3 linked regions of the Arabidopsis thaliana genome follow. The protein of the gene in region 1 interacts with the protein of each later gene in a pairwise test. Each region holds a gene or a part of one and is shown on either strand. Other genes may lie near its edges. The genes, in order: CPL3, TGA10 and AT4G23670.

Evidence for each region.
Region 2: the proteins of CPL3 (region 1) and TGA10 interact in a two-hybrid assay, tested with the Arabidopsis thaliana proteins (one large-scale study listed by BioGRID).
Region 3: the proteins of CPL3 (region 1) and AT4G23670 interact in a two-hybrid assay, tested with the Arabidopsis thaliana proteins (one large-scale study listed by BioGRID).

The regions. Positions count from the first base shown.
Region 1 is NC_003075.7:458,227-466,842, reverse strand, and holds CPL3 (CAPRICE-like MYB3), read right to left. Parts: upstream 6,365-8,616; 5' UTR 6,310-6,364; coding exon 6,246-6,309; intron 6,148-6,245; coding exon 6,054-6,147; intron 5,952-6,053; coding exon 5,876-5,951; 3' UTR 5,769-5,875; downstream 1-5,768. Other genes in the region: TBL26 (TRICHOME BIREFRINGENCE-LIKE 26), read left to right, coding at 1-217; GT72B1 (UDP-Glycosyltransferase superfamily protein), read left to right, coding at 3,543-4,985. UniProt on the Arabidopsis thaliana protein: MYB-type transcription factor involved in epidermal cell fate specification. Acts as a negative regulator of trichome development, including endoreplication, by mediating lateral inhibition.
Region 2 is NC_003076.8:2,116,970-2,130,433, reverse strand, and holds TGA10 (bZIP transcription factor family protein), read right to left. Parts: upstream 9,963-13,464; 5' UTR 9,524-9,962; coding exon 9,450-9,523; intron 9,366-9,449; coding exon 9,244-9,365; intron 8,873-9,243; coding exon 8,781-8,872; intron 8,575-8,780; coding exon 8,446-8,574; intron 8,322-8,445; coding exon 8,256-8,321; intron 8,148-8,255; coding exon 8,088-8,147; intron 8,001-8,087; coding exon 7,923-8,000; intron 7,832-7,922; coding exon 7,750-7,831; intron 7,660-7,749; coding exon of another isoform or gene 7,657-7,659; coding exon 7,385-7,656; intron 6,241-7,384; coding exon 5,986-6,240; intron 4,370-5,985; coding exon 4,217-4,369; 3' UTR 3,977-4,216; downstream 1-3,976. Other genes in the region: FTIP1 (C2 calcium/lipid-binding plant phosphoribosyltransferase family protein), read left to right, coding at 850-3,234; AT5G06830 (uncharacterized protein), read left to right, coding at 10,875-10,935, 11,080-11,214, 11,484-11,578, 11,651-11,745, 11,837-11,972, 12,053-12,202, 12,297-12,800, 12,881-13,089 and 2 more. UniProt on the Arabidopsis thaliana protein: Together with TGA9, basic leucine-zipper transcription factor required for anther development, probably via the activation of SPL expression in anthers and via the regulation of genes with functions in early and middle tapetal development.
Region 3 is NC_003075.7:12,331,673-12,341,271, forward strand, and holds AT4G23670 (Polyketide cyclase/dehydrase and lipid transport superfamily protein), read right to left. Parts: upstream 2,233-9,599; 5' UTR 1,985-2,232; coding exon 1,798-1,984; intron 1,443-1,797; coding exon 1,174-1,442; 3' UTR 757-1,173; downstream 1-756. Other genes in the region: AT4G23680 (Polyketide cyclase/dehydrase and lipid transport superfamily protein), read right to left, coding at 4,744-5,012, 5,559-5,745; DIR6 (Disease resistance-responsive (dirigent-like protein) family protein), read right to left, coding at 7,480-8,043.

The sequences.
Region 1 (8,616 bases):
CAGGCTATTAGACACGACTGGAATGTCTCTTCTCCGTCCAGACGGGCATCCGGGACCATACCGGCATCCAAATCCTTTTGCTGGAGTTAAGAATAAGAGCAATGTTCAGAATGATTGTCTGCATTGGTGCTTACCTGGTCCAATTGATTCATGGAATGATGTGATGGTGGAAACCACGCTTAACCGGGAACGGGAACTATACGATTTAACCGGTTAATGTACCACGATATCGCTTGTAGCTAGTTACAGTCAATAGCCATTCCACTTGTCAATGTCTCGTATATGATAGTTCTATATTTTAATTTTGTAATGGTTCTAAACAAGAATAAACGATGCAAAATTTTGCAGTGTGAATTTTGTTTAAGGTGTTGTTCTGTGGAAAGCTAATAATGATCTTACTAGGACTTGTGATGTAAAAACAAACTTGTAATGTATGCTCTGCATTTTCTTTAATCAGTAGCTTGTTACACCTGTTATGTGACTGGAGAGACCAAGTAGGGATCACAAACTGAAAAAACGACTTGGGCTTGGAAAGTTAACTTTGCACCACTACGAGGACATGAATCTAGTCTAAATTCAACCATATCGATAACAAGAAGCAAGCAGTGACTGTAATAGTATGCTGAATAAACTATGTCAAGAATAAAAGCATGCGACAAGAGCAGCTACAAACATTTGGATCAGCCGATATGTACTTGGAAGGTGGACGACAAACTAAAATTATGTTGATCATTATAAAAATAGAGATAAATGCGCATTTTGAATGAAAGAAAAACATTTTTTTAAAACCTATGAATTAAAACCTATGGTTTTTGTGATCATCATCATGAGAGCGTTTGTTCTTAGGTCAGTTGTAGTTGAGTTTCGTCTTGTTAATTGGGATGTTTACATTGATCTTTTGTCTTTTTATTGATGACTGTTTGTTTATGTTCATATATATTATATAGTGTTGTCGGCTTTGCCTCGTGTTGCTTAGTGTTTCATGTCTTTAATGTTCATGTAGTCTCTCTGTTTTGATTTTTTTTGTAATACTCTCTTTTCTTGTAATCCAAGTCAACGACATCAATAATATTTCTAAAGTGGACGAAGAACTCATCTTGCAACAAGTGAGCACTGAACTTGAAATCAGAAAAGATGTAAGTTAGAGATCAATTTATATGCAAAGTATTCACTAGTAGCCCATCGAGGATAACTAAAATCTGAGATCCGTGAACATGAAAGATTAAACATACATGTGTAAAAAGGCACCTACACCATAATTTGATTGTCCTGATCCCTTCTTACCAGTGACATTAATAAAACATTTGAGGCTAATGAATAAATTAAAAACACCGTGCCATTCTACTTTACCAGACATAGTCGTCATACCGTTTTTTGTAGCTTGTGCGGATCGTCCAATAATCATTGACAGTCGTCACTGGTGACATATGCCATACGATGAACATTCGGTAACTTCAGCAAATTTGGCAGATATCGAAAACAAATAATTTGATTTCACAATATTGTGTAATTTGTTTTTTAGTATTGGTTGTATATATTTCTTTGGACATTTGGTAGCTATAGCAACTATTTACTCGTGGAAATAATTTATTTATTTCTGTATGAAATTATGATAACATATCTGTTTAAAAGTTGTATTGATGCGACAGCTTTTCTTTGATTTAATGCTACCTTATACTTGTTCAAACTGGCTGAAAAATACATACAAAATTATTAAATTCCAACCACTTATCACACTATCCTTTATGTGATAATAAGTTTAGCTGGGCAATGTTATTCATTAAAAATTGGTGATGCAACACAAGTCGAATTGACAAAGATATAATAATGAGTTAATAGGCTTTATGATTTAGCGGGACATGGACATATATTCAATTTTGTAAATCATAACAAAAATGATGGGCTATGAGATAAATTCCACTTTCACTTTTCTTCACTCAAACAAATGCTAAAAACTAATCTATCGATGAATGATTATATGCCTTTTTATCGTCGCCACTATGACCTAAAATATTTCAAGAAGTCAATTTTTTAATTTGTATAGAGCAAAATGTTTTGCAAATAAAAGAAAAACATTGTTATGAAAGAAAATAATACAGTAGAAACTCTATAAATTAATATTCGATAAATTAATAAACACGATAAATTAATAAATTTTGTCGGTCTCAAGTCGGGTCAATGTAAAAATTAACCAAAATCGATAAGATAATAAGATAATAATCTTTTTGAAATCCCTATGTAAAAATATGATCCTAATAATATCATAAATTAATAATCATAAATCTTAAGCATACATTCTAATACTAATTTTATCTAAAACTTTTATTCAAGCCACAATTACAACTCTTTTTAGAGTACAGTTGGTATGATCTCTTTTGTACTCACATAACTCCTTACGTATTTGATCCGTCATATTTGGTTTTGTAACATTTTTTAATCATTGCTAAGATTTGTGTTAAAAAAAATTGGATTAAGCCTCACGTTAACGTCGTAAATATACGGACACAATATTTTGTAAAAAAATAAATTAAAAAGTCAAGAGAAAAATAATTTTTAACATAATTGAATATACGAACAACAAAATATAAGAAAAATTAAATTAAAAAACATATTTAAAAGAATTTAATATTGTATTTTACGTAAAAAAATTTATAAATATTTATTAATTTATAGGATAAACTAATATCACTATAAATTAATAAAATTTTATGGTACCAATATTATTAATTTATAGAATTTTTTATGTAATAGCAAATTACCATTCCAAAATTTAATGTTAATGGTAAAAAAAAAAAAAAAGAGCGAAAGAATTTTATTTTATTATAGCTAAGAAAATTGGGGAGAAAAATCATTGCGGAAGCATTACGTTTGCATTTCATCACATATTCACACGTGCGCTCAAGACATTTCACACGCACAAATATAATTGACCCACAATCACAAAAAAGCTGGTCATCACTAATTTTTTTCAACAATTTCCCTACCCCTCTCCAATAATTGAAAATTTTATATATATTCTTTTGGCAACCATATTTAATAAACATATATATATATATATATTGGTTTCAATTATGGATATTATATAATAGCATTATTATGTATAATTCCCAATTTTATGTAAGTTATGAATATATTTTACACAGCTTGTTAAATGCTTTACTTTAAATCTACATGAAAATCAAAATGTATTAATATGTCCACAATTTAAATGGTTGATTTCATATTAACATGAGAAATCACAAAATAATAAGTATAAAAATGAATTACGTAAATGATGATTTTTTAGTTTAAATAATCGGTCACCAAAATATTCATATTCGAACATGGTCGCCACAAGCGACATTCTACAAAAAAAACACATACAAGTAAATAGAAAATAGAATTTCTCCTCTCAATGATTCACACAAACTCTCTATATAAAGCCATTACTTAATACCACACAAATTACAAAAAAAAAAAGAAAAAAGGAGATAATAATCACAAACTACAAAAGTAGAAAGAAGAAAAAAGAACAAAGTATCAGTTCTTGAATATTTGCATCAATGGAGGAATCCAAAACACCTCACGTTGCGATCATACCAAGTCCGGGAATGGGTCATCTCATACCACTCGTCGAGTTTGCTAAACGACTCGTCCATCTTCACGGCCTCACCGTTACCTTCGTCATCGCCGGCGAAGGTCCACCATCAAAAGCTCAGAGAACCGTCCTCGACTCTCTCCCTTCTTCAATCTCCTCCGTCTTTCTCCCTCCTGTTGATCTCACCGATCTCTCTTCGTCCACTCGCATCGAATCTCGGATCTCCCTCACCGTGACTCGTTCAAACCCGGAGCTCCGGAAAGTCTTCGACTCGTTCGTGGAGGGAGGTCGTTTGCCAACGGCGCTCGTCGTCGATCTCTTCGGTACGGACGCTTTCGACGTGGCCGTAGAATTTCACGTGCCACCGTATATTTTCTACCCAACAACGGCCAACGTCTTGTCGTTTTTTCTCCATTTGCCTAAACTAGACGAAACGGTGTCGTGTGAGTTCAGGGAATTAACCGAACCGCTTATGCTTCCTGGATGTGTACCGGTTGCCGGGAAAGATTTCCTTGACCCGGCCCAAGACCGGAAAGACGATGCATACAAATGGCTTCTCCATAACACCAAGAGGTACAAAGAAGCCGAAGGTATTCTTGTGAATACCTTCTTTGAGCTAGAGCCAAATGCTATAAAGGCCTTGCAAGAACCGGGTCTTGATAAACCACCGGTTTATCCGGTTGGACCGTTGGTTAACATTGGTAAGCAAGAGGCTAAGCAAACCGAAGAGTCTGAATGTTTAAAGTGGTTGGATAACCAGCCGCTCGGTTCGGTTTTATATGTGTCCTTTGGTAGTGGCGGTACCCTCACATGTGAGCAGCTCAATGAGCTTGCTCTTGGTCTTGCAGATAGTGAGCAACGGTTTCTTTGGGTCATACGAAGTCCTAGTGGGATCGCTAATTCGTCGTATTTTGATTCACATAGCCAAACAGATCCATTGACATTTTTACCACCGGGATTTTTAGAGCGGACTAAAAAAAGAGGTTTTGTGATCCCTTTTTGGGCTCCACAAGCCCAAGTCTTGGCGCATCCATCCACGGGAGGATTTTTAACTCATTGTGGATGGAATTCGACTCTAGAGAGTGTAGTAAGCGGTATTCCACTTATAGCATGGCCATTATACGCAGAACAGAAGATGAATGCGGTTTTGTTGAGTGAAGATATTCGTGCGGCACTTAGGCCGCGTGCCGGGGACGATGGGTTAGTTAGAAGAGAAGAGGTGGCTAGAGTGGTAAAAGGATTGATGGAAGGTGAAGAAGGCAAAGGAGTGAGGAACAAGATGAAGGAGTTGAAGGAAGCAGCTTGTAGGGTGTTGAAGGATGATGGGACTTCGACAAAAGCACTTAGTCTTGTGGCCTTAAAGTGGAAAGCCCACAAAAAAGAGTTAGAGCAAAATGGCAACCACTAAATATTTGATGTTCTAATATGATTTGTATAATCAACGGTGGGATTTGTGCAAATGTGTTTCTGTATGTATATGTATGTTCTACTTTTCTTTGCTTCGTTTGTCTCAACTTTTATTTGTATATGTTTTTGGCTTTTGATTAATTCGTAGAAGATGTTGCAATTAAGATCAGCTTAGAAGAAGATGTTGCATATATAGTTAAATATTGTTCAAGAGAATCATCAATTGTCTATCGTCAATAGTTAAATATATATATGGCTTATAAAAATAACAGTTTGTTCAAGTTCTAAACATTTGTTGCAATCTCAAGAGTTACATATATAGATCATCAGTGAGACACATAGATTTCAACAATATGTTTGTTTGGTAATGAGATACGTTATGGGTTTTTATTGAAGATCGTCCGTTTCGTGGTTATGGATCAGAGATTAAGGAAAAACTAAAAGTCTAAAACGTGGATGACCAAGAAAATAAGTGTGTGTGTGTGGAGTAGGTGAAATAGCGTTAACGACAAATATACAGAAAACATGTGTGGGACCTGAAGACAGCATGTCATTTTATGACTTGTAAAACGACTTCCACTTTTGTTTTGTTTTGAAGTAGGTTATTTGCCACTTTCATGTGTCAAGTGTTTAAGGCTTTAAGCAGAAATTAATGAAATATCCACGTACAACATCTACGACTTAGCTTCTAGAAATTACTAGGATGGCAAAAAAATAAATTTAGGCTTGGAAGGCCCAAATATTCGTAGCCCACACAATAAATGGTTCTTGAGAGTTAAATGGTTTGGGATTTAAGAAAGTTTTCTTCTTATAACAGAGTTGGTAAATTTAAAATACAACGGAATATAATCGAAACAATCAGTGAAACTATAGAGATATATTGATCACTTTTCAATTTTTCATGACCCAAAACCTCTCAATTTCTCCAGCGGTTCTTCCTGGGATCCTCCCAGCTATCAGTTCCCACCTTTCATCAAATAATAACACACAAAATTCAGCTTTTACTATGGTGTTACAATTAAATTATTTTCCTACGAAATAGTATTCATTATTAGTTAAAAGATCAAACCTGTCACCGACAAGCTTATGCATTCGAGAGACCAAATCTTCTTCTTCTTGACTCATGTTCACAACTTCCCACTCAAGACTACTCACTTCTGTTCCTTGTCATCACCAAAATTCAGATTTCTCATTATATATAGATAAGTATAAAAAAACATGGAAAAATGAGAAAACGAAGGTGTTTAAGTTTTCAGCTTACCTTCAGAAGAAGAAGTAACGATGGAGTTGGTCTTGGGTTGCTTAGTCCTGCGATGGTTATCCATGTCAAACGGCACCGTATTACAAAGAAGAAGAAGAAAGAAACTAAGAGAGTACTCTGAGAGAGTGGTCGTATTTTGAAGGTTGCACACGAACCATCATTTCTATTTATAGCAACTAACCAAATCAAGTAACCAACGGTCCAACGGGTTTGGTCGGTTTCTATGTTAAAGGATTTTAATTTACTAAATTGGTTTTGTTCTCATTAATTATATTAATTATTGTTAGCTATCTTTGCAAGTTGCAAGTTTGCAACCAATAAAAACCACAAGTACCCGTGACTTCATTTACTCCGTTGTGATGGCTTGGACTGGAACATAAGTTGTATAAATATTGATACATGCCGTTAATTAAGATCATTAATAATCAACAACAATTGTTTTCAAAGCTTTTCTGATTGCTATTCCAGTTCATTCAATCAGAAATTATACTCCCTTTGTTCATAATAGATTGAAATTTTGGATATATTAAGACAAAATCATTTTTAATTATTTTAACATTACTTTTTGTATCAAACATTTTTCAATGCCTAAGAAAAACTTACAAAACTATTGTCCTCGTGTACGTTTGTAAAACACAATAATATTTTCAACCATTCATGTTTTCTCGGCGAGTTTGTTTCACTAAACTGATTGTTTTCATCATTTAGCTTAATTGCTAATAACACATAACTTTCTATAAATTGGATTAATACCATGAAAAGAATAGAATCTACATTATTTAAATTAAAACAATGATCCCCCAATCATGTCTCTTTAATATTTAAGATATACTATAACGTGTCCATCACAAAAGTAAATGAGTGTCACTACGAAAGATGAAAATGGGTTGGATACTTGCATCCTCAATCATGCAAATTTGGTCCTAAATTGGCTTAAAGCCAAAAAAAACAAAAAACAAAGTGGTCCTCGCAGTAAGCAACGTGTCGTGTGTTCGTTACAACTGCTTTATTGGTTCGGGTTATTCAACACTATTACCTGCAATAAAATCTAGTAACAACTTTTTTCATAGTATATCGATCGTTAGATCATCTATATATACATAAGAGGACCTATAAATAAACTTACAAGTCCACGAAGGGAATATCCCCAAGGCAAGACTATATTTAATTGCCATCCCTAGCAAACTTTCAACTTAACCTTTTTCAGTGCTAACAATATATTCTCAGTAAATTCCGAATTTAAGTTTGGAATGAGGAAGAGAAACGTATATTCTCAGACTAACACCTGATTTAATTAATGTGGTCTTGTTCTTTACTAAGTTAATATTATGAGTGACACATTAACACTAACCGATTTTATTAATGGGGTTTGTCAATTGTCATTTGGTTCAGTAAGAAGAAGGAGAAATATGTTTTTGTCGAAGCGTCCTCAAGCTTATCATTTGATGCAATGCGTGGTAGAGCAACATATATGTTTGCGATTAAAATGGTAATCTAGAGCAACATGTTTCATTACTTAATGAAAAACGGAGTCAACACATAAAAATATATCATCATACATTGTCACAATATATACGTTTAGTGGCTTGCCAATGACCATATTTTAGAGGATGCATAAACTTTGATAGATAATTTGTTGCATGCAAAAGCTATCTATAGCCATGTAATACTTGTAACCATCGGATAAAGAAGTGTTATATGCGAGTTGCAAACCATCCATGGTCATCATTATATTGGCCTGAAGAACATCTTTAACAAAAGATAAAATGAGTGGATTGAACCACATATGGAGATTGATGAAGATTTCATTCTAAAAACATTTCAAAGCCAAGAACTAATGGGCATCCACTTTTTACATCAATGCAACACTTTTTAGATGAGATGAAGATTTCATTCTAAACATTTAGTTAAACGTCTAGTTTAGGCATCCACTTTGTTCATCAATGCAACACTTTATAGATGCCGATTAACGCATAGCACTTAATAAAGGAAACATGGATTATTCTACACATTGGTTTATGCTAAGTATATGTCACACTTTTCATTACCCCATTTAACCTTTTTGTTATGTATAGGGAATCCAGAATAAGAGAAAGAAAGAGATCTATCCCACAAGATCCAGTAATCACAAGATATTTGGAAATTTCCCCACAACTTTTATTTCGTCCAATACACCCCTCACACAGCTTCTGATCCCCTTTAACGCGATGACAGACTCTTGTTTGAACTCAATGGTGGTATAAAGGGAGAAAAACAAAACAAAGTCCACTTATCTCAGATTCGACACAAAGTAGCATCTAAGTTCGGGAGAAAAAACGAGAGAAAAAAGAACAAGTTACAATATTCGACCACTTTTGTTCTTCTGTTTGCA
Region 2 (13,464 bases), on another chromosome or scaffold:
AGATAACAAAAAAAAAGAATCAGCTTCCCTCTTAAAGAAGGAGAAAAACAGAGAGAATAAGAAGTAATTTTTTAGGGTTCTTCCTTTTTCATTTTGATTCTTCTTTTTCTTTGAGATAGAATTGTTTCTCTTTCGTTCTCTCTCTGTGTATCAAACAAAAATTTGATTATGGAATAACTCTTAACTTCTTGGTTTCTTAAATTCTTCTTTCTTTCTTTTTTTCATTTCTATGGTACAGCAGCAAACAGAGAATTTTATGGCAGCTTCTTCAACATCTTTCTCAAGGTACTGCTTACTAAGTTAAACGCATCCTTCTTTACATATATACATGTTCTTGAAATATTGTTGGTCCATATAAAAATAGCTCTCTTTTTTTGTAAGTTCGAATACTATAGATTTATCTCTTTCATTGATTTTGTTTGCTATCTTCTTTTTCTCTTCATTTACTCTCTATTTATCGTTTTCATATTAATCCTTCTCTTACTTTTCATTTGCAAAAGATAATTCAAGACATTCTGTGTTTTCCTGCAAACACTTGAATGAGTTCATGGAACAGAACCAAGAGACAAAGCTTATATTTGCGTCGACCACTTAGTATATATTGTTTAAATCAGGTAAGAATCCTTTCAATTATCTTGGTTGAGATTGAAAGTAAATTACTAAATACTAATTATAAAGGTTTTAAATCAGTTCTGATGAGATACATTAGTTTCTTTACATCCAAGAAACAGGTTTTGTCTAATCATTTTTTCCTGCAATTCTCAGATTCTGTTTTTTTGTATGTCAGGAACAGAATTGAAACGTTTTGAAAGAAACAGGAGAATCTTTTGGTTCAAGTAATCTAAAACCATGGCAGCCAAAGATGGAGCTAAGAGCCAAGAAGACTATAAGCTTAAAGACATGAAACCAGAGCTTGGAGAGAGATGGCCACATGGAGGACAGCGTGGAGGAACCGGATGGATTGGCAGTGAACGAGCTGCAAGCACATATGACCTTGTTGAGCAAATGTTTTATCTCTATGTTCGGGTCGTCAAAGCCAAGGATCTTCCTCCAAACCCTGTCACCAGCAACTGTGATCCTTATGTGGAAGTGAAAATAGGAAACTACAAAGGAAAGACTAAACACTTCGAGAAAAGAACCAACCCGGAGTGGAATCAAGTTTTCGCATTTTCAAAAGACAAGGTCCAATCCTCTACTGTTGAAGTCTTTGTGCGCGATAAGGAGATGGTTACAAGAGATGAATACATCGGGAAGGTTGTGTTTGATATGCGTGAGGTTCCTACAAGAGTTCCTCCTGATAGTCCACTTGCACCTCAGTGGTACAGATTAGAAGATCGGCGAGGTGAGAGTAAGAAAAGAGGAGAGGTTATGGTAGCGGTTTGGCTTGGGACGCAAGCCGATGAAGCATTTCCTGATGCTTGGCATTCGGATGCTTCCTCTGTTCAAGGAGAAGGTGTCCAAAGCGTGAGGTCTAAAGTCTATGTATCTCCCAAATTGTGGTATCTGCGGGTTAATGTCATCGAGGCGCAAGATGTTGAGCCTAGTGACAGGAGCCAACCACCTCAAGCTTTCGTTAAAGTACAAGTTGGGAATCAGATTCTGAAAACAAAGTTATGTCCTAACAAGACGACGAATCCGATGTGGAACGAAGATCTTGTTTTTGTAGCTGCAGAGCCATTTGAAGAACAGTTCTTCTTGACGGTCGAAAACAAGGTGACACCAGCTAAAGATGAAGTCATGGGGAGGCTGATCTCACCTTTGAGCGTATTTGAGAAAAGGTTAGATCACAGAGCTGTTCATTCCAAATGGTACAACCTCGAAAAGTTTGGGTTTGGGGCTCTGGAAGGAGACAAGAGACACGAGCTCAAGTTCTCCAGCCGAATCCACCTACGAGTTTGCCTTGAAGGAGGTTACCATGTAATGGACGAGTCAACTCTGTACATCAGTGACGTGAAACCTACGGCAAGGCAACTATGGAAGTCTCCTATTGGCATCCTTGAAGTAGGAATCTTGAGTGCTCAAGGGCTATCGCCTATGAAAACAAAAGACGGTAAAGCGACAACAGATCCGTATTGTGTTGCCAAGTACGGTCAAAAATGGGTGAGAACAAGAACCATCATTGACAGCTCTAGCCCTAAATGGAATGAGCAATACACATGGGAAGTGTATGATCCTTGTACAGTTATCACACTGGGAGTTTTCGATAACTGTCACCTTGGCGGAAGTGAGAAATCGAACAGTGGAGCCAAAGTGGATTCGAGAATCGGGAAGGTAAGGATCCGGTTGTCGACTCTAGAGGCTGATAGAATCTACACTCACTCCTACCCTCTTCTTGTTCTGCAAACAAAAGGGTTAAAGAAAATGGGAGAAGTCCAATTAGCTGTGAGATTCACTTGTCTATCCTTGGCTCACATGATCTATCTTTATGGCCATCCTCTGCTTCCAAAGATGCATTATCTCCATCCATTCACTGTGAACCAATTAGACAGTCTAAGATACCAAGCAATGAGCATTGTCGCAGCACGGTTATCTCGAGCAGAGCCTCCTTTAAGGAAAGAGAACGTAGAGTACATGCTTGATGTTGATTCACACATGTGGAGCATGAGAAGGAGCAAAGCTAACTTCTTCAGGATAGTGTCTGTGTTTGCAGGCTTGATTGCTATGAGTAAATGGCTCGGAGACGTCTGCTACTGGAAGAATCCGTTGACGACGATATTATTCCACGTTCTCTTCTTTATATTGATTTGTTATCCGGAGCTGATACTCCCAACCACATTCCTCTACATGTTCTTGATAGGGCTTTGGAATTTCCGGTTCAGGCCGCGTCATCCTGCTCATATGGACACAAAGGTATCTTGGGCTGAAGCGGCTAGCCCTGATGAGCTAGATGAGGAATTTGATACTTTCCCAACTTCAAAGGGACAAGATGTTGTGAAGATGAGGTATGATAGGTTAAGAAGCGTTGCGGGTCGGATCCAGATGGTTGTTGGAGACATTGCAACGCAAGGAGAGAGGTTTCAGGCTTTGTTGAGTTGGAGAGATCCGCGTGCGACTTGCTTGTTTGTGATTTTTTGTCTTGTTGCTGCGATGATTTTGTACGTGACGCCTTTCAAGATCATAGCTCTTGCGGGTGGGATGTTCTGGATGAGGCATCCTAAGTTCAGAAGCAAGATGCCTTCTGCTCCAAGTAACTTCTTCAGGAAATTACCTTCAAAAGCAGATTGTATGCTTTGAATTGTAAAACTTCTTTGTGGCTTTTAGGTCTTCTCTGCTCGTAACTTGTGTTTCTTGTGTTCGTGTGTTTATCTGCTCTGTTTTATTATTTTGTTCTGTTTGCTTCTATTCTTATCATGTACTGTGTTGTTGGGTTTACTCTAAAACCCAAAAGTAGTGGGCTTTAGTTATAATGTTTTGTTTGTACGTTTTTTCCTTCTCTTAAAAAGAAATAAAATTCAATAGAAAACTTTAGGGCCCAAAAATTTACGGCCCAAACGAATTTGTAGTCCAAGAATAAACACATGTATAATCTGATTGCTAGTGTATGTACTTAGAAACTATTTTTTTTCAAATATTTGCGGCTAAATCAATCTCGTTTTTTGTGATGTAAAAAGATTTTTGTTGTTTTGATTTGACCATGCATGTGTACTACTGTAATGTTCACTTTTATCAGTCAAGAAATAAAAATAGAAGAGTTGAAAAAAATTAACTGGTGACAGCAAAGAAATGAAAAGTAAAGGAGAGAGAGAAGGGCGTTGAACCCAAAGCAAAACGGTACTGATCCCAAGTCCCTGACGGTATCCTACAGAACTCACCATTTGTCACCTTCCTCACTGGTCAATGCTTTAATTTGACCTAACAAGTGATAAGTCTTGCATGCAACTGCAATTGTTGCCAGCCTTCTATTTTTGTTTCCTTTCAATACTCTCTCATGTTCTTGTGTTTGGAATTGAAGATCAAGTATAATTTTTCACTTGAATTTGCATAAGGAAGAATTCATTAAAAGGTATGGAATACTTGTCTATATATATAATCTGCATCTTGATTAAAAACATAATAGTAAGAATCATATAACAAAAAGAAGCCAAACAATTTTCCCTAATTGCACTGTATTTGAGTAGAGAGACGATATATATGATAAAGAGGTCAAGCTGGCGGCTAACTAATCAACCTATTCTCTTGTTTTTGTTTTTGGTTTCCTTCATCAGTTGTTTTAGTATTATCCATCTTGCCGAGGACGGGCTAGCCAGAGAGAACTTAGAGCTTGAAGACGGTGGAAGTACTCCGCAACGGCTAGAAGACACCGTGCTTCTTGACGGGTCGTCAACAATTGGTTCAGCCTATGGATCGTTTGGTGCCTCAAATTATCCGCCTGTAAGTTTCTAATGTATTAGCTAGTTCAAAACTAAATAAGAGTTATAGGGAAAATGGAGAAATAGTAAAAGCAAAACAAAAGATGGACAAAGTAGTGCACATGTTATTGACTAAGACCAATTAAGGACAAATAATCGAATTGGACCATCATTAATCTCATAAATATAAGTATTAAAGACTAACTAGAGAGGAAAAAAACAGATAAAGGACTAATTAAGCATTATAATGATTGTGCATGACCCGAAATTATGTGGTTGATTGACGACTAATGCCGATTATTCAACATGTTGATCGATCAAAAAATCAAAGCTTGTTAGTAATTCACTAATAAGAACACGACACCAACATGTCAAAAAGGTGAAACCGTGAATTCCATACCCTCGGTCCCACGCCATGCTTCATGATACTTTTGATCATTAATTAGAATCATACATATATAATCAACCTATTATCAATGATATAAAAGTAGACAAAAAAATGCAGAATCAAATGTAAGTAAAGGAATTATTCTCAAGGAAGTGTTTTCGGAGGATGGGATACTTGGGCAGTTACGTCCATGACATCATGCAACGATATGGGCTCCAAGCATTCCATGTTTTTATTTGATGTGATATATTATAGATACATAATATATGTATTTTTCTTTTGGACTACATATATTGGAATATGTATACTTAATACATACTTTCATGGTGCCAATTGTCACGTGCGTTTAGAGAAAATTGAATTCATTACCCCTTTTTAGTAACTAACCCCACATTTACCACCTATTTTAAAGTTGGATCTTTCTCCAAATTGTGAGCGACTAACCGTGTAGCGAAACACAAAAACTTTTTTTATAGGCGGAACAGGAACAATTTAGAACTAATTATATTAAGAAATCATTGAAAGATGCCAACTTGTATATGCATGTATCTTGTATAGAATTAATTAGCCGAAATGTCCATTTGCATATAGAGTATAGACTTATACATTAATATACACAAGCAGATATATATATTTCTTTGTTTCAAAAACTTGCCTGTCCTAAACTAGTAAATGATTAAGAAATAAATATTAAATTAATAAACTTGGTCGTCTAAGAAAAGCAACCCGACCAAGTTGATATAAGACAAGAGAAGTGTTTGTTAGATACCTACTTGCATAATGTCCGAATCAAGAGGCAAATACTTTCCATTTCATATACATATACATGTTAATGCATAATTATTAAGTTTGCGAATTAGTTTTGACATCTTCTTTAAAATCAACCACTTTTATTCTATATACACTTAATATATTACAAATGTCCTCTAACAAATTATGGCCGACGTTATACCTATATATGAGTTGTACACAAAACAGACACACACATATATACAAACATCTATATAAATTTAGATAGCGTGTTATAACAGCCAAATATAGAAATATATAAGTATATGATAGTTGAGTTTAATAAGGAGTAGTTCAAAGAAACAGAATATGTATTCCTAGTCTGATTAGGACCACATATATCCTCTAGGGGTCCACTTGTATATCAACTCTATAGGTATATTTTTATATAAAGATAAAAGATTGGTATATTGATATATAATTGCACATAAACTTAAAAAGAAAGAGTTATAAGGGTACCTGGAGAACGAAGCCCTCGAGAGCAGAGAGCTTGTTGAGAGCTAAGGACATGTGTGACATGAAATTGGATAGATGAGGAGGAAGTGGTGCGGAGGCAGGCGGGAGGGAGTCAGAGACAATGCTATCGGAAAGTGATTGATTCAACGCCTCGAGGCCTTGCGAGAGAGCCTCCTCGGCCTCTTGTGTGGACTGTTGCAGCCCACATATCCCAACTATCTGTTGCTCCGTCAATGGTTCTATCTGGTTCACAATCACCTGCATGCATGCGTTTCTAATTAATACACACAAGTTGAGATATCGAGGATTAATTAACAATGGTCTTAATGGATGCATAAAGAACGTTGAATGCATTAAAGTGTGTAGTGTATGTACTCTGCACGAGTTACTAGCTACACCCAAAATCTCTTCTTTCCTTTTTATTTTCACTAAAAAGGATATAAGATTGAGACATTGCCAAAGGTCTTGTCAGATATGCACACCATCCATATATTAATTTGTATTATTAATCGGCTATCGTAGGTACTCATATTGTTTAGAATAAAAAGTAGGTTTAATTAAAATGGCTTTACGTAACCATTTTAGAAAAGAAAAAAAATGATAATCATCCAATTGACGAGCGTGCTAAAAATGTTAAACAATTATTTATTTTTGGTTTGTTTATTATGGTCGTCTCTGTTGAATTCCATGGTGGTTTATGTCTATCTCTCTCTCCTATGGATCCCATAAATCGAAAAAACAGACAGGCACTTTCTTTTGCATTATGCCAAAACCTACCTATTTCTAGAGATACTTCACCATCACACACAATTGCATGCATTCTTAATTTGTTTTCAAAATAATTTTACGTGTACCTTTATTATTGTCGTAATATAAAGACATTCACGTATATATGTTGGTTTTATACATCTAGAGTCACCCCATGCAATGTTATGTATATATATACCTCGTCCAACAATATCACTATATAGTCTATCTCTTGTCTGTCTTATCTATTATTACTATATCGTACCTCTTTTACGAGAATCAAAGACTAAATTAAAAAAAAAAATCTAAATAATAAAATAAAGTTGGAAGTACTATATTCTGTGGACATATATGTACGATATAAATAATAACAATGTCACAATTTCAGTCATTATTAGTATATGTTCTGCAAGTAATCCACAAAATTGATGGTATTAATGATTGTATCCTGGAATATTTTAGGTTCTAAGATAAAATTTAAAATGATTAGTCTTCAAGTAAAATTCCAAAATTTAGATTTATTAATCCATATTTGATTAGTTTACAATATCATCATGACTAATTATTGTGTGGGATGTGGCTCGAATAGAATAAGTAAATATCTCTCGAAAAACCTAAATATATGTATATGGCTATAAGAAAAGACGAGATGTACCTTAATGATCTCCGATGGACGGAAACCACCCATCCACAAGAAGCAACGTTCAGCTGGAGTTTTCCATGCTCCAGAAATGAGGTGGAAGACATCGGTCTTAGCGACCATAGCCTTGAGGTTAATCAAATGGTCATAATGAGCTAAACATGTGTCCACAAACATCCTAAGCTCGTTCTCGGACAAGTGTTCTTGTGTTGCCACCCTTAGTTCGTTTAATAGCCTCTGCTGCTCCTCCAGCCACCTCGCATATTCCATATCGAACACCGCTGCTTCTGCTTCACATTGCATTTACTCAATATCTCATTCTCTCGGTTTTCAAATTTTACGGTTTTTGAGTCATCACATTTATGAAACTATTAACGTACCAGAGCTGATGTTGCCAGGGCCAATGGGTAGTCCACCTTGCTGTTGATCTCCTCCTATAAGAGACCCTCCAAAGAATACGCCCTAAACATATATAGGAAATCAAATTAAATTGGTACATTTTAGACTTTAGGTTAAATACAATATATATGAAAAGACAGGTTCAAATATTTACTTGGGATCTGGCCCGTTGAATCTCTTGTTCTAGTTGGGTCAGTTTGATCCTACATGACTCGAGTTGCTGAACATAAGCCTGTCGTAATTTACCAAAGCAAATAACGTTATAAATAAATTTGGATATAAAAACTATATTTGCAACTTACAAATATTGAATGCTGACCTTTTTACGTAATCTGCTTTTTCTTGCTGCTTCTCTGTTTTGTGCTAGTCTTCTCAATGTCTGTTGAGAATTAAATTAATAAAGAAACTATCAAAAACCGAAAAGTAAAAAAAAAAAAAAAAAAAAGAATCTTATTAATTTTCTGCAGTTGTATGAATATACACTCACTTTAGGGTCTGACGATTTAGGTATGTCATGGTCCGATGAGGCAAGACCCTTGCGGTTCCCTTCCTTCTGCCATAACATTTAGATATGACCCATTAACTTCTAAAAACAACCACAACAAGTCTATATCTATACTCGAGTTATAGTTCGACAAAGCAATTAAATGATTAAAAAAACATAAATGGATAGAGACCTTGATGGATTTAGAACCTTGAGGAGGTTGATGAAACTGAGAATGATTGGTCAAGTCCATGGACGGGTCAGAAGCTGGTCGAGTGGAACCACTAGGTTGAGCAGCCGGAACTAATCTTGTATTATCGGTCTTACCAAACACATTATATAAAACAACCAAAAAACAATCAAATCACTACTCAATAGAAAAATAAGAAACGTATAATAATTGGTCTGACTTGATATTATATGAAATGGCTAGTAGTTGCGCTGACATTATATTAAATTAGAAACAGAAACCAACTAAAATTGGCATATATATATAGAAATTTATAAAGTAATAGTAATAATTATTACATTGTGTGTAGAAGAAGGAGGTGGCTCTATGTGCATAGGCTGAGATGGAAAGATGTTGAGCGTCGATGTTGGAGGTCTCATCGCCAAATTCTCTGCCATAAGATGAGTCATGTGACCATATGTATGAGAAATGGTCTAGTTATAACAAGTCATGTATATAAATATGTGAGCGGACTAGTTCTTCTAATTAGAAGAAAAAGGACAGAGAGAGAAAAGGGTTTAAAGAAGTGTAAGATATATGGATTTGAAAGATTTGGTGTCTGAAAAGAGAGAGGATCTGGTCAAAGCTGAAAGAATAGAGTACTGATGGCAGAAGAAAGATTGAAATCTGTTTGGCATGCTTTTGCTGTGACTCTCTCTCTCTCTCACACACCTAAAGGGAATCTTCCTTATCTGCTGAAACCAAAAAAACAAACCCCAATTCCCAAAAAAGAAAGAAAAGAGAGAGAGAGAGAGTGCATACGAGTTGTGTGATGATGATGTAAAGGAGAAGGAGCAGTTGATGGAGGATCATGATGTCCTTGTCCATCAAGATAGAGGAAGAGTGATGGGTCTATCTCTCCAATATCATACCCATCTTTGTTCCTGCACACATAAATTAAAGCTCTCTTATTAAAAACATGGGGATCATCAATCAATTCAAAAAGTTATTAAGTGAGTAAAAATTACATGAAGTTTCCATGGGAAGACGTGGCGGAGGATGATGATAAGTGTTGATGATGATTCTGGTGATGACCTTGCATTTGATGATGATGAAGAGAAGTCTATATATAGGATGATGTTTGAGAGAGCGTGTGATATGATAGTAACAGCAGAAGATGATGAAGAGAGATAGATTTTGATCTTCGATCTCTCTTATGTTGGTCTTCTCCTCTGAGGCAAGCTGATGATATATGATGATGATGACGGTGCTTTGATCACTAGCTAGAGAGATGATGATATACCTTCTTTTAATTCTTGTATATTATTTTCCTTTCTCTATATTCTTGGAAAGAGATAGAGATTATGTAACGGAGCATTTAAAGCTCCTTTGGTGTTTTTTTCAGAAGAGAGAAGAGAGGTCGGTTATATTGAAGTGGAGAGGGTTCAAAAACTTAAGAAGGATATTGGAGAGAAAAATAGAGATTGGAGAGAAGAACCTAAAGACAAACTCCTTTTTATTTTCTGATATTTTTGTTGTATAAGTTTCTTCTACCTTAAAATATTAGAAGACGACTTTGTTTTTATTTTTGTATGAAACCAAGAAAAATATTCTGATAAAGCGGTCAAGAACATGTCCTTTTCCATCCCCTCTCTCTTCTTCTTCCTTCTCTCTAGTCACATTGCTGATAACAAACTTGTATAAATATTTTTTGTTTGTTCTCTAAATTATTATTATTATATTTCTCCTATATATATTATTCAGCTATTAGATTTTTACTTTAAGATATACTTTTCAATTCCATCATCTATATTATTATTATAAGATTTTTTATTCGATTTTTAATGATCCATTAACCGCTCTTACATTCAATCTATAAACACTAGACATTATATGAAACAAGTTAAAAGTCATTATTATGTGATTTATGAACTTAGATTGTCAAATATATTGATTGAATTTTGTTTGTATCTCTAACTGTTCCATTGTACTTTGTTTGAATGGGCACTAATATGGTCTAGGTTTTGTTTTTGTTAAGCTAATTGGTTTGATCAAATTGAGCTGGTAAACTAATTTTGATTTCTTTCCCATCATTCACAAAATATTCATACAAATAATTTCCTCAAAATAGTTTTAACTTGTAAAGAAAAAAAAGTTTAAAATCTGTAGACTAATCCGTAAAGGTAAAACCGACGTTACTAGATAGACCAGTTTATGTTAACCGCGGTAATGGACCATCCAACCAACCCATATAAAACCAATAAACAATTTAATCTGCCGCGGACCGGAGTAAATTGGTTCGGTTAGTTCAATAACCGGATTCGAGATATTTGATGAGACCAATGAAATTATGCGTTCTTCTGTAGCAAACTCTTGAGACTCCAAAACGTTAAACTGTGTGAGACTTCGGAGATAAAATTTCCCAGAAAGCGTGAAAGGTTAACCGGAAGAAAATGCCGTCACAAGATGATGTTCAAAATCTTCCAATCGATATCACCTTCTCTCGTCTCGGAGGTAATGCAGAACTATCAATTACGAGTACACGGAATTTTAAATTTTTATATCTCTTTGGTTTTTTTTTTTCGTTTTCTTCGTTGGATTCGAATCTGCGTTGGTGATTATTGTCTTCATTTGATTTCAATTTTGTTGAATTTGAAGAATGGTTGGTGGATCGGAAGAGAATTCCGGCGGATTGGAGGAAGAGGGTTGCTGTGATCAGAGTCAAAATCTTAAAAGAGTTCTCTTCTTTGCCTAAAGAGATCGATCCATTCTTTCAAACCCTAGATCCTGAAGGTTTTAAATTCTTCAAATTTTGTTCTTTTATCAGTTTGGCGAATTTTCAAACCTTCAAAACGAATTCGTCTTAAATTGCGTTTTGGTTCACTGCTCTCATTTATAACTTAAAGTGTTAGTATTTTGTTTGAAAATGCCAAAGAGATTTTATTGGCATCTTTGTGAACACCGTAAGCTTGTTTGTTGTTTGGTTATGTCTGATGATTGATTAGGAGGAGGGCCTTACTTGGTTGTATTCTCATTCAAGTTTAATGTTGTTTTGCTTCCAGTGATCGGTTACTTGGAGGTCAAAAAGGTGTATGAGATTCTCCTGAAGACAACTCCGGAAAGCCGCAACATCTTTGGTCGACTTTCGGGTGCTTCTGTAAGGAAAACTGTCTCTCTGTTTCGCACTTTTGTTTGTGTTCATTGTCTCAGCTGTATAATGCTCTTTTAGGGTGTTTGGGAAGCAATTGTTCGTGCGTTTGAAAAAGATCACATTTATCTTGGGGAGGCAGCTCAGATAATAATTCAGAATGTTAATTACGAAATGTAAGTTGGCTTCTACTTGATTTTACCTATAGTCTCTCTACTTTGGCATTTCTGATCTCCCTAATATGTTTTCTTTTTGCAAAACATGAAGCCCTTATCTGAAAAAGCAAGTGCAAAAGGTTCAGCAACAAATGACAGAACTTGATCGTAAAGAAGCTGATATCAAAAGGAGCGTTGCACTCTCAGCAACAAAATACGAGGATGCTTGCCGAGAGCTTGGATTGCAGGTTTACTTGTAAACTTGGTTGATTTTCATCTATATGTTTTTTAAAAGGATCATATAAAGTTTAAACATTTAAGATATCAGGGAAACAATGTGAGGCGTGAGCTTTTGGAGACTGCGAGTTCGCTTCCTAGTACCTTTAGCAAGATTCTGGAAGTTATCAACAGTGACTCAGTAACAGGGGCAATGGAGTACTACTCTGCCTATGTTCAAGATGTTCATACTGAGAAAGATGTAAGATCACTGTTTAACTTCAATCTCTTTCTCTTTAAAATTTTGGTCCTTGTTTCCTGGAGATTGAATTGACCGGCTTCTGATCTGTCTGCAGAAGCCTTTGAGGATTGTCTTACAAAACCTGAAATACATTCGTGAAAACCCTCCATCATTAAGCGTTTTTGGGGACTCTGAAGGTCTCGATGCTGATAATATTCAGTCATCTGAGAATGCAAATGGTACAGATGCGGCTGCAGACAGCATTGATTGGGATATTACGGTTGAGACTCCTGAGATAGATTGGGATGTTAGTATGGTAGAAGAAGTTGATAGTGGAAATGATCTAGGTTCATATGAAATTGTCAATGCCAGCGATATTCCTGAGAATTCTCCATTTAAAGTGGAAGAAAGCCAAGGCCTTGAGGTTGATGTTTCTGAGATTTCTTGGGATGTAAGTGTTGAAACACCTCAGGTAGAAGAAATAGGTGATTCAGCTTTGCTAGAATCAAACCAGACACAGTTGACAGATTCTACAACTCAAGTCTTAGGGAGTGGAGGAGAGAGGAGCCAGCTGTTGGAGACAGAATATAGGAATAAGATCCTTGATGATTTGTATGAGGTACTCTTATCACTAACTATCTAATTCTCAGTTTAATCCTGGATATGCTTCTTGAGTTGATGTCGTTTCTCTTGTGTCAGGTCAAGGCATTTTTGAACCAGCGTTTGATAGAACTGAGAAATGAAGATACGCTGTCCTTGCAACACCACGTGCAAGCAGTCTCCCCCATGGTTCTTCAGCAGTATTCTCCTGAAACCATAGAGCCAATGGTGGTTGACATCTCCATGGCCATTTCATTGCTAACAAACAAGAAATCTCGGGATCTGATCATGATCCTCAACTCCAAAAGGTGCGTTAGGATAAAGAATCTCTGCCAGGGGATCACAGTGAGTACCACAGCTTCTGATATATGTATTTGTTTGTCGAACAGATTCCTAGATAGGCTTGTTTCAGAGCTGGAGGAGAAGAAGCACCGTGAAGTGAAGTTAAGAGAGAGCTTGAAAGATGTGGGTAGAAGACGCATGGAGCTGCAGAATTCACTTTCTGCTATATGGCCAAAACAGGTAACCTCATGTTCTTAAAAAGCTTGTTTTGGCTAAACTGTGGATTATCAGAAATTTGGAATTGGAAGGGGCTATTATCTAACAAATTCTGTTTATTGATTTTGGTATTGAATACAGGAAGCTGCACTTTCGAAAACAAGAGAACTCAAGGAGCTATGTGA
Region 3 (9,599 bases), about 12 Mb from region 1:
GTCGTCTCGGAGCAAGACTTCTTCTCCAGTAACCCGGATGGATCGTTAATGGGCCTGTAGATTATTATATTTGGGCCGAAACAATTGGGTCAGCAAAAACTTGGGGGATAATGAAGAAACACGTACAGTATGCATTTAGGCTCCAAATTAATTGGCCATATAATTCGAATCAGATAAACTAATCAACCCCTACCTTACTTATTTCTCACTGTTTTTATTTCTACCTTAGTAGTTGAAGAAACACTTTTATTTATCTTTTCGGGACCCAAATTTGATAGGATCGGGCCATTACTCATGAGCGTCAGACACATATTAGCCTTATCAGATTAGTGGGGTAAGGTTTTTTTAATTCGGTAAGAAGCAACAATCAATGTCGGAGAAATTAAAGAATCTGCATGGGCGTGGCGTGATGATATGTGCATATGGAGTCAGTTGCCGATCATATATAACTATTTATAAACTACATATAAAGACTACTAATAGATTTCGATCGTTGTGATGGTTATTCTCCTTTCATCGAAATATTTAGAGATCTTAATTAAGAATCAGAAGATGAAAACAAAAAAAATGATATTAACATTTTAGTAAAAATAATAAAATTATCAAGTAAATATATAGACTTATTTCTTAAAGGTTTTTCTGCAATTTTTAAAAACAAGTTCTATAACAATGATATTTTTTATTTTATTTTCTACAACAATGATATATTTCTTAAGTATAAAAAAAAATAACAAAAACAATTTCTGTAGGTAGACTTCTTCATCAATGCAAGGTTAAGCGCATAACAGTCCAATTAAGGTGAAAATGAGATGTATAATATGTGAGTGTGACCAAAGTAATATACGTACTCTTGTTATTTACTTAATTGCTATCTAGAAATTTGCATATACCACACCGACTAATTATAGTATTATACCACTAGATGTTTACTATGATCTACATATATGAAGAAAAAAACAATGAAATATGTAGATAACTGAACGTACTTTATTTAATACTCATTATATCGAAACCGATATATGATGAGCATAACAACATATCACAGCATATTCCAAAACCAAACAGTTACAGAGAATAGAAACTCCACAAGACCCCCTTTATTATATTGATTATCGAAAAGACACCATAATAATACAATATCGATCGAGATAGTGATGACGGTGATGGTTGTGGTTAAGCTTTGTTGACGTGGCCTTCAATGTCAACAACCATTTGCTTGACGAATTTCATGTAGCCGCTTGGTTCGGGAAAGTCATCGTTGCGCTTCTCCCATATCATAGTGATTTTGCAGACGCAGCTATCCTCAGATTTGGGAATAAATTCGTAGATGATATCAAATACTTTGAGATGCTCCATCACGTGACCATCCAGTCCTCTTTTCGTCAATGTTTTATTCTCATCATCTATCTCTCTCTTCTCTTTGAACATCTCCTTCTTTCCATCTTACACACATGTGTTTATTAGTTACAATTTCCAACATCCCACTAGCTAGTTATACCATAAGGATTAATATCTGACTATCATGTTTTTCCGTTTATATTTTTCAAAATTATTCTCAAATATGAAAATACTTTTTACTTTTAAACATATGACTTTCGTTTTCATATGTAAACATAAATGCAAAATATGATTATTATATATGTTTTTGGTCTTATAGAACAAATTCCTTAATTAATGATCATATGTAGTATTTCATATTTGGCAGTAGACCACCAAAACCATAGTTTCGGACGCACATAGGCCGTAAAAGTGATAAATATATAGAGAGAAAGTATAAGTAAATGACTAAATGTATACCATATGTGTAGTCCCAACTCCTGATAGACCCGTGAGAGTCATGTTCGCCTTCGTGAACAACGACATTTTGGATGTGGTGGCCAATGGCGTCAGCGAAGACATGGTTCTCGCTCTTCCAGCTCTTGTAGTGTTTCTCCGCCGATCCTTTCAACGGAACCTCCGTCACGTACGTTCCCGATGTCGCCATTTCTTTCTCTCTCTCTCGTTTTAAAGTTTCTACTTGTTTTCTGATTGATTATACTGAATACTTGTCGTCGCTAGCTCATAGGTTTATATAGGGACCGTGACGGTTAAAAACAAGGTTTCTACCGTTTCTTTAAATCATTTGATAGTGCATACCTAAAATCTTCTCTGTTTCTTTTTTAACTCAAACACTATTTAATGATAGATGTGTGTTGTTTTTTAACTTTTTTGTTGAAGAGCTTTCAATTAAATTGTTATATTTAATGTTGGACCACGTTATTTACGTGGGTAGTTGGCACAGCATCCTTTAGAAGATAATCACGGTTCATGATTCATGCCCCATACATATTAATCGCGAGGAAAAATACGGTATAATAATGCCCCATACATAATGATCGCGAGGACAAATAATGTTGGTATATAATAATATATATGGAAAATCACATTTTTTTACTTTCAAAATTTTACTGGATGGCATTTTAAATTATAAAATAATTTGACTAACACTATAATCAATCACCAAATAATTTTACTAACATTTTAAACTTTAAAATTAGATTTTAAATGAAATTCAAACTAATAAACATACATATATGGGATAGAGATTTGAAGAGAGAATGAGAGATCATGAGACAGGCTCATAAAAAAAAAGTGGAGCCGTTTACTCAATCTCTAGTAATCAGAATAGGTCATTTATGGGCCCATACAATTGGTCTTTTGATCCAAATGGGCCAAGAAAAACTTGGAGTCTAATTAAGAAATACATACGTCCTCTCTGTTAACGCTTTAATTAGTATCCAAATTAATTAGCCATAGAATTGGAAGCAGATAAACAAACCCTAATTTACTTATCTTCTGGGAAAAAACTACTGTTTTTACACTACAAAAAAACAATTTAAAACATGCAAAAAAAAAGAAAAATAATTTTTATAACTCAGGAAGTTCTAATTCTAAGCTCATAGTTTGTCTTCAGACTCGGAACCAGCCGTTGATAATGCTTATATGGGACATTAATCATGCTCTCTTATACTTCTAAGACTCTATTTAGAAGGATAAAGTTAACGTCTTTTAAAATAAGCTTTATTACTAGTTGAAAGAAACACTCTTTTATTTTTCTTTTCAGGATTCCAAATTTGTTAGGATCGGCAATAACTCATGAGGGTGAGACACATATTAATTAGCCTTATCGGATTAGTGGGGTCAAGTATTTGAATTCGGTAAGAAGCAAGCAATAATAGATCTCGAATGCATCAGAGTAGTTGCATTTTCCGTAAAACAAATAAACTCATCTGCATGGTCCAGGGATCCTGTAACATCAATCATTGAACGCATATATACGTTACAATTTTATAATGATGAAACTGCAAAGTCCGATTTTGGGTGATCTCTCTGGTGGTACCACGTTTATGGTCGTCAACTCAAAATTTTACAATCAGGCACATTTACAACATAATTTATACAATTATACTAGATCAAGCGGGGTACTTAATTTGTTATGTAGTGAAAACTTTGTAGTTCTATGTTTTACAATTTTTAGTGAATTTTGTAAAATTTTATGTTTCATAAACATGTATAAATAAATATATAAATATTTATAGATGCCGTTTCTTATGGTTCGTTTCCTCCATGTTTAGGAATTTTAAATATCAGAATATATTATTAGAAAAAAACAAGCAAATATTTTGCATAAACGATGCACTTGTCATTTTTTTTCAATACGAAGGCCTTTATTTTGAGAGAAAAATGGAAAACTTATTAAATCGATAGATTATTTAGGGTCTTTCGGCAATTTGTAATATCAGAATTCTATCACAATGAAATTGTGTAGACAATTCGTCATCAAGATTAGGGGCATAACAGTTCAATTGAGGTGAAAAACAAATTGCGGGAAAAATTAAAAAATTACGGGATAGGTCTTATTTTGGAACAAGATTATGTGTCAAATGGATTTGAATCAATATTTATAAAATTTTAAAATAATATTAACATACCGTTTTAATACATGTTAAATCCTAAGTATATTAACAATTGTTTCGTGGAATTCTGATATACATTACTTAATAAAAATTAAAAACTATAAATATAAATATTTTATAAATATATATAATTTACAAACTTTTATAGAAACTAACTTTAATAATAAATTATTCTGCAGTGAATCGCGGGTTAAAATTTAGTATATACATGAGTATGACTGGTTCCTAGAAAATTAAGGCCAAAATAGTAAAATATTTTTTTAAAGTTATCATAAACACTTTTAAATTTTGGGGGTCTTTTTCATAAAAATATCTTTTTCGGAGATCTATTTGAAATAATTCTCTTTTGGAAAATTTTGGAGTCCACATACATTTGTTTCTCCCGGCTTCCCTCATGGCCGCCCTGTACGTGAGTATGACCATAATATACGTACTCGTGTTATTTACTTAACTGTTATTCAGAATTTTGCCTAGTCCACCTATACTAGATCGTTAACTAACACCATTAGATGTTTAGTAATCCGTATATGAAAAGTCATAAATTATAGATAAACACTGAAAATCTGAAATGTGTAGTAAATTAATCTTAAGAATCATTATATCGAACCCGACATATGATCATGAACATAACAATATATCGAAGCATCATACAGAACCAAACGGTTTACACATAGAAATTAACGATCCACAAGACCCCATTTATTATACTGAAAACATCATAACTTATAAATCGAGATAGTGATGATGATGATGATGATGATGACGACGACGACTGTGGGAATGATGATTAAGTTTTGCTAACGTGGTTTCCCATGTCAGCAACCAAGCTCTTGACGAATTTCATGTACCCGCTTGGTTCTGGGGAATCATCGTTGCGCTTCTCCCATATTAAAGTGATTTTGCCGATGCAGGTATCCTCAGATTTGGGAATGAATTGGTAGACGACGTCGTACACTTTGAGCTGCTCCATCACGTGACCCTCAAGTCCTCTTAACGTCAACGTTTTGGTCTCATCGTCTATCTCTCTTCTCTCCTTGAACACCTCCTCCTTTCCATCTTTACACACACATGTTCATTGGTTCAAATCTAAACCTTAGGAGAGATATATTCACAATAATACGTTCTTTAAGACTGTAACTAGACCAAGACCAAACCAATCATGCCATAGAAAACAAAACTAGACCAACCAATCTAGATTGTATATTAACTAATGAACTCGATTGTTTGCTAATTTTTGCGTTTTTTCGTGTTTAATGTACGCAAACACAATCATGTGTTCCAGTGTTTACGTTTACCATTTTCAAAGATCTTCCTAAAAATGAAAAAACTTTACTAATAGAATATCTGACCCTCGTTTTCTTATGTAAAACATATATGAAAATTGAAATAGTCAAGACCTATATATTATGAATAGTTTTAGATGTATTCTTGCGCCTACTTCTGACAATATGGTGCAACTATTTAATTAACCATCATAATTCATATTTGGCTATATACTACGAAAACCCTAGTTTCACACATACACCATAATATTGTGTATAGATATATATAGTGTTAAATAATATGTTGATATATATAGAGAAAGTATAAGTAATTGTATACCCCATGTGTAGTTCCAACTCCTGATAGACCCGTGAGAGTCATGTTCGCCTTCGTGAACGGTAACATTTTGGATGTGGTGGCCGATAGCATCAGGGAAGACATGGTTCTCGTTCTTCCACCTCTTGTAGTATTTCTCGGCCGATCCTTTTAGCGGAACTTCCGTCACGTACGTTCCCGACGTCGCCATTTTTGCTCTCTCCCTCTCGTTTTAAAGCTTCCACTTGTTTTTTATGTTTTGTTTTGGTTGATGAGATACCACTTGTCGTCGCCGTGGTTTATATAGTGAATCTGACAGTTAAAAACATAGTTTTTACCGTTTCTTTTTATCATTTGATAGTGCATGCTAGAATCTTCTTTTCTTCATCTTTTTTAACGTACGTATTATTTAATGGGCACTGATGGGTCATCAACTCGTCATAAAAATGTGTACTTTAATTGGTAGGCTGATTTTCGACCACCACGTTATTAATGTGGGTAGTTGCCACAACATCCTTTAGAAGATAATTATGACATAAAAATATATTTTTACCAAGAAATGGAAGAAATTTTCTATGATTGTTTACCATTTTTGATTTCATACGAGACTTTGAATTTTTTTTAAAAATTATATAAATAGAATGAGATCCATTTCATAGCATGGTGATGCATTTAGTAGTTCGGATTTGGTTTGAAATGATTGGCCGAACTACGTTTATGATTTGGTCTGTCAAACCATAACAATTTTCGAGACCTAAAATAATGTAAAAGGGTGGAAATCTATTGCCCATACTATCTTTGAGATTTATTTTAATTATGTTATTGGGATTGGAAAATGACAATTTTGTGTCTAGAGTATAGTCCGTAGTTATTATATAGTTTGGTATTGATTTCCTTTATATTTTAATATTGGTATATCGAGTATGGACCATTCATCGATCATTGTTGACATAATTGCATCTTATAAGATGAATACAATCAAGTTACGACACCGAATGAGAGCTTTATGAACAATCGAATCATATATTAACATCGAGTTAACATGTTTTAATTTACCATATATATTTTAATTAAGAATCTCCTAATTTGTTATATTTTCTCGGAATATACATTAGTAACAAAATGGTTTGGTCTTTATCATAAGTACAAACTTTGACATTGTATTTGTTTACTATATGCGAAAGCTAATCAATGTTTATCTGATACTTAAGCTTTCACTTATCTTGAAACCATACCATTTCTGTTCAAAGCGTTGATATCCCCACACTATATCTGCCCTTGCCGTTGGGCCATTATACTATGAATCCATAAAATCAAGAGAACCCCTTCAAAATTCATATAGAGATTACGAATTCCCTTAAATTCATAGCCCATACCCCAAATAGAGAAAGACAAAAAAAATAACGGATTATACACAATTCCACTGACCAGTTGAAAAAAAGTTAGCAACCACTTTCGGCAAGATGGATCATTAATGGACCTATATATTATTCTACTTGGTCCAGCTTAGATCGGCCTGATAAAATGGGATTGCAAGTACTTGGGATCTAATGAAGAAGAAACATATATATCTTCTTATCTAATGAAGAAGAGACATCCCAAAAATATATTTCTTTGACAGAAATAATTGACTATTGATAAACAAAAAGACAACACCAAATAAAAAGGCCACAAAAAAAAACACTACTTATTAGTAACACATTATCTCTGTGTACATACCAATTTTCAAACAAAACAAATATTATTCGCTAGTTAGTAACATTCATAGAGCTTAATATCCATCTTAACTCGGAAATACTTATCCCCTTGAAATAAATCACATAATAATTATAGATAAACAAAAAGACAACAGCAAAAGAAAAGGCAAAAAAAAAACTTAATTATTGTAAACACATTTCTCTGTGTCAACATAAAATTTTCAAACAAAACACACATTCTTAGCTACTTAGTAACATTCATAGAGCTTAATATCCATCTTAACTCGGAAATACTTAGCCCCTTGAAATAAATCAGTCACGAAGGTAGCGATCCCACGAGCCATGAAGAAGTCACCTGTCCCACCAACGACCGATAGATCTCTTGTTGGCTCCATCATCAAATCAGCACCCATTATGTTCAATGTCCCTTTGTGTTCCGTTGAGTTAAACACCAACGTGTAGGAAAACCACGAATTGAAGTCCATCTTCATGTCATAGAAATAGAAGCCTTGTGCGCGAGCCACGGGTTTTGAGAGATAGTTCTTGTCCATTGTTATGGGCCCATCAAAGATCACAAACTTACCGAACTTGAAGTTTCCTAGTCCTGGAGGGCTCACGATGGCGGCGGAGGTTGCGTTTGCTACATTGTCGCCATCGTAGAGGATGTCATGGAAATAGAACGAGAAGTGTTTGCAGGGTTTTTTCTGGTCGATTGTTTTTCGGAAAGATAAGACGGTATCGGAGAAGAGTAAAACTAATAAGAAGAATGAGAAGAGGGCTTTGAAGAGTTGTTTCTCTACTAGAAATGCCATGGTTAGCTAGAGATTAGTGAGTTGTGAGATGTGTTTAATGAAGGAGGCTTAAACCCATTTATATAGAAGTATTATTCACTTGTTTTAATAAATAATTTATTTGGATAATCGTTTTCAAAGTTTGAGGGACATATCTAATGGGTTGTTGATGTTTTGCCGATTTATATTTAAGATATAAATTAGAAAGATCATAAGGTTTAACGACCATGCGGAAGCGGGGTTGGTGGTAACTAAGCTACAACCTAATTTCACTTTCTTGATAGATTTAATATTTTTTGACAGGAAAAAGATATATATATATATATATATAATGATTTGAAACTATTATTAAACGGTATGGTGAGTCCAACCTAAAAGCATAAAGTCGAAGGCTAGCTAGCTAATGTAACAGCAAGTGTATACTAATTATCTGAAAAATAAATTTAAACAAAACGTCAAACGAAAGTGTTACGCAGAAATGGAAAAAAAGACCAATTATTAAAAGACCATTTTGGAAATATTGCTTTGAGACCGCCCATCATTCATGTGCGGTCCATATGGCTAAAATTAGGTAACTTGTAAAACAAATCACCAAATCACGTTCTAGCTTTGCTTCTAAGATTGCTACTAATCAACGATTTTCTTGAAATCACGTTCTATTTATTCGTAATTATTCGGACTAACGGATATTGAAAAATCAACTCCAGATTTAAACAAGATGGACAATTGATGAAACAATGTGGGAATAAAGATGTTGAATTGATATGATACGAATTTTACATAGAAAGCCAAATTTTGAAACTTCAACTACGGTAGATCTCGTCAGGAGGACATGATCACGATTCATGAAGATGTTTATATAAAGTTAATATTGATAATGTATTTTATGTATATAGATGTTATAATTATACAAGGGCATGCTCGTGTACTAGAACAATTATTCCCCTCTGCCGCTTTACTTTCAGTGTAAGACTAACATATAAAAAAACATTATCGGCGAAACTTTATAATCAATTGAGAAAAAATCATTTAAGAAAGCGTCCTAATTTTCTTTCAATACGACTCTTTTTCAATCAAACAAAAGAAAAAAAATCGTCCAATTTTTCTCATATATATTTTAAAAGCCGTATAAGTCAATAATATTTGTCACTAACTCCTTCCTAATACATGAGTAAAAGCATAAACGTCGAAAAGTCAAACAAGAGGATTTGATTAAAAAGAAGAAAAAAAGAGTTCAAATGGGTTTAGTTGCCTAACTAGTAACTACCCTTTTGTTCCTTTGATTTCAGAGCAGACCCATGTGAAAAGTAAACAGCTTCTAAACCAATTATGTTATTTACAAACTTCACAACGATCTAACTATCTTGAAAATTAGAAAAAGAAAAGAGAAAAACTGCTTTGAAACCATGAACCCCAAAGATACTAAAAATCTGAACTAAAGCTCTGTAAAGTCCTTTGAAAATGGAGAAGTTAGACAGAGTTGAAAATCAAACCACACCACTATGTCATGAAACGTGGCCGAAGAGTTTTGGTTTCACTGGGTGTCGTGCATGCTCATGTTTCTAAGACTTTGAAGA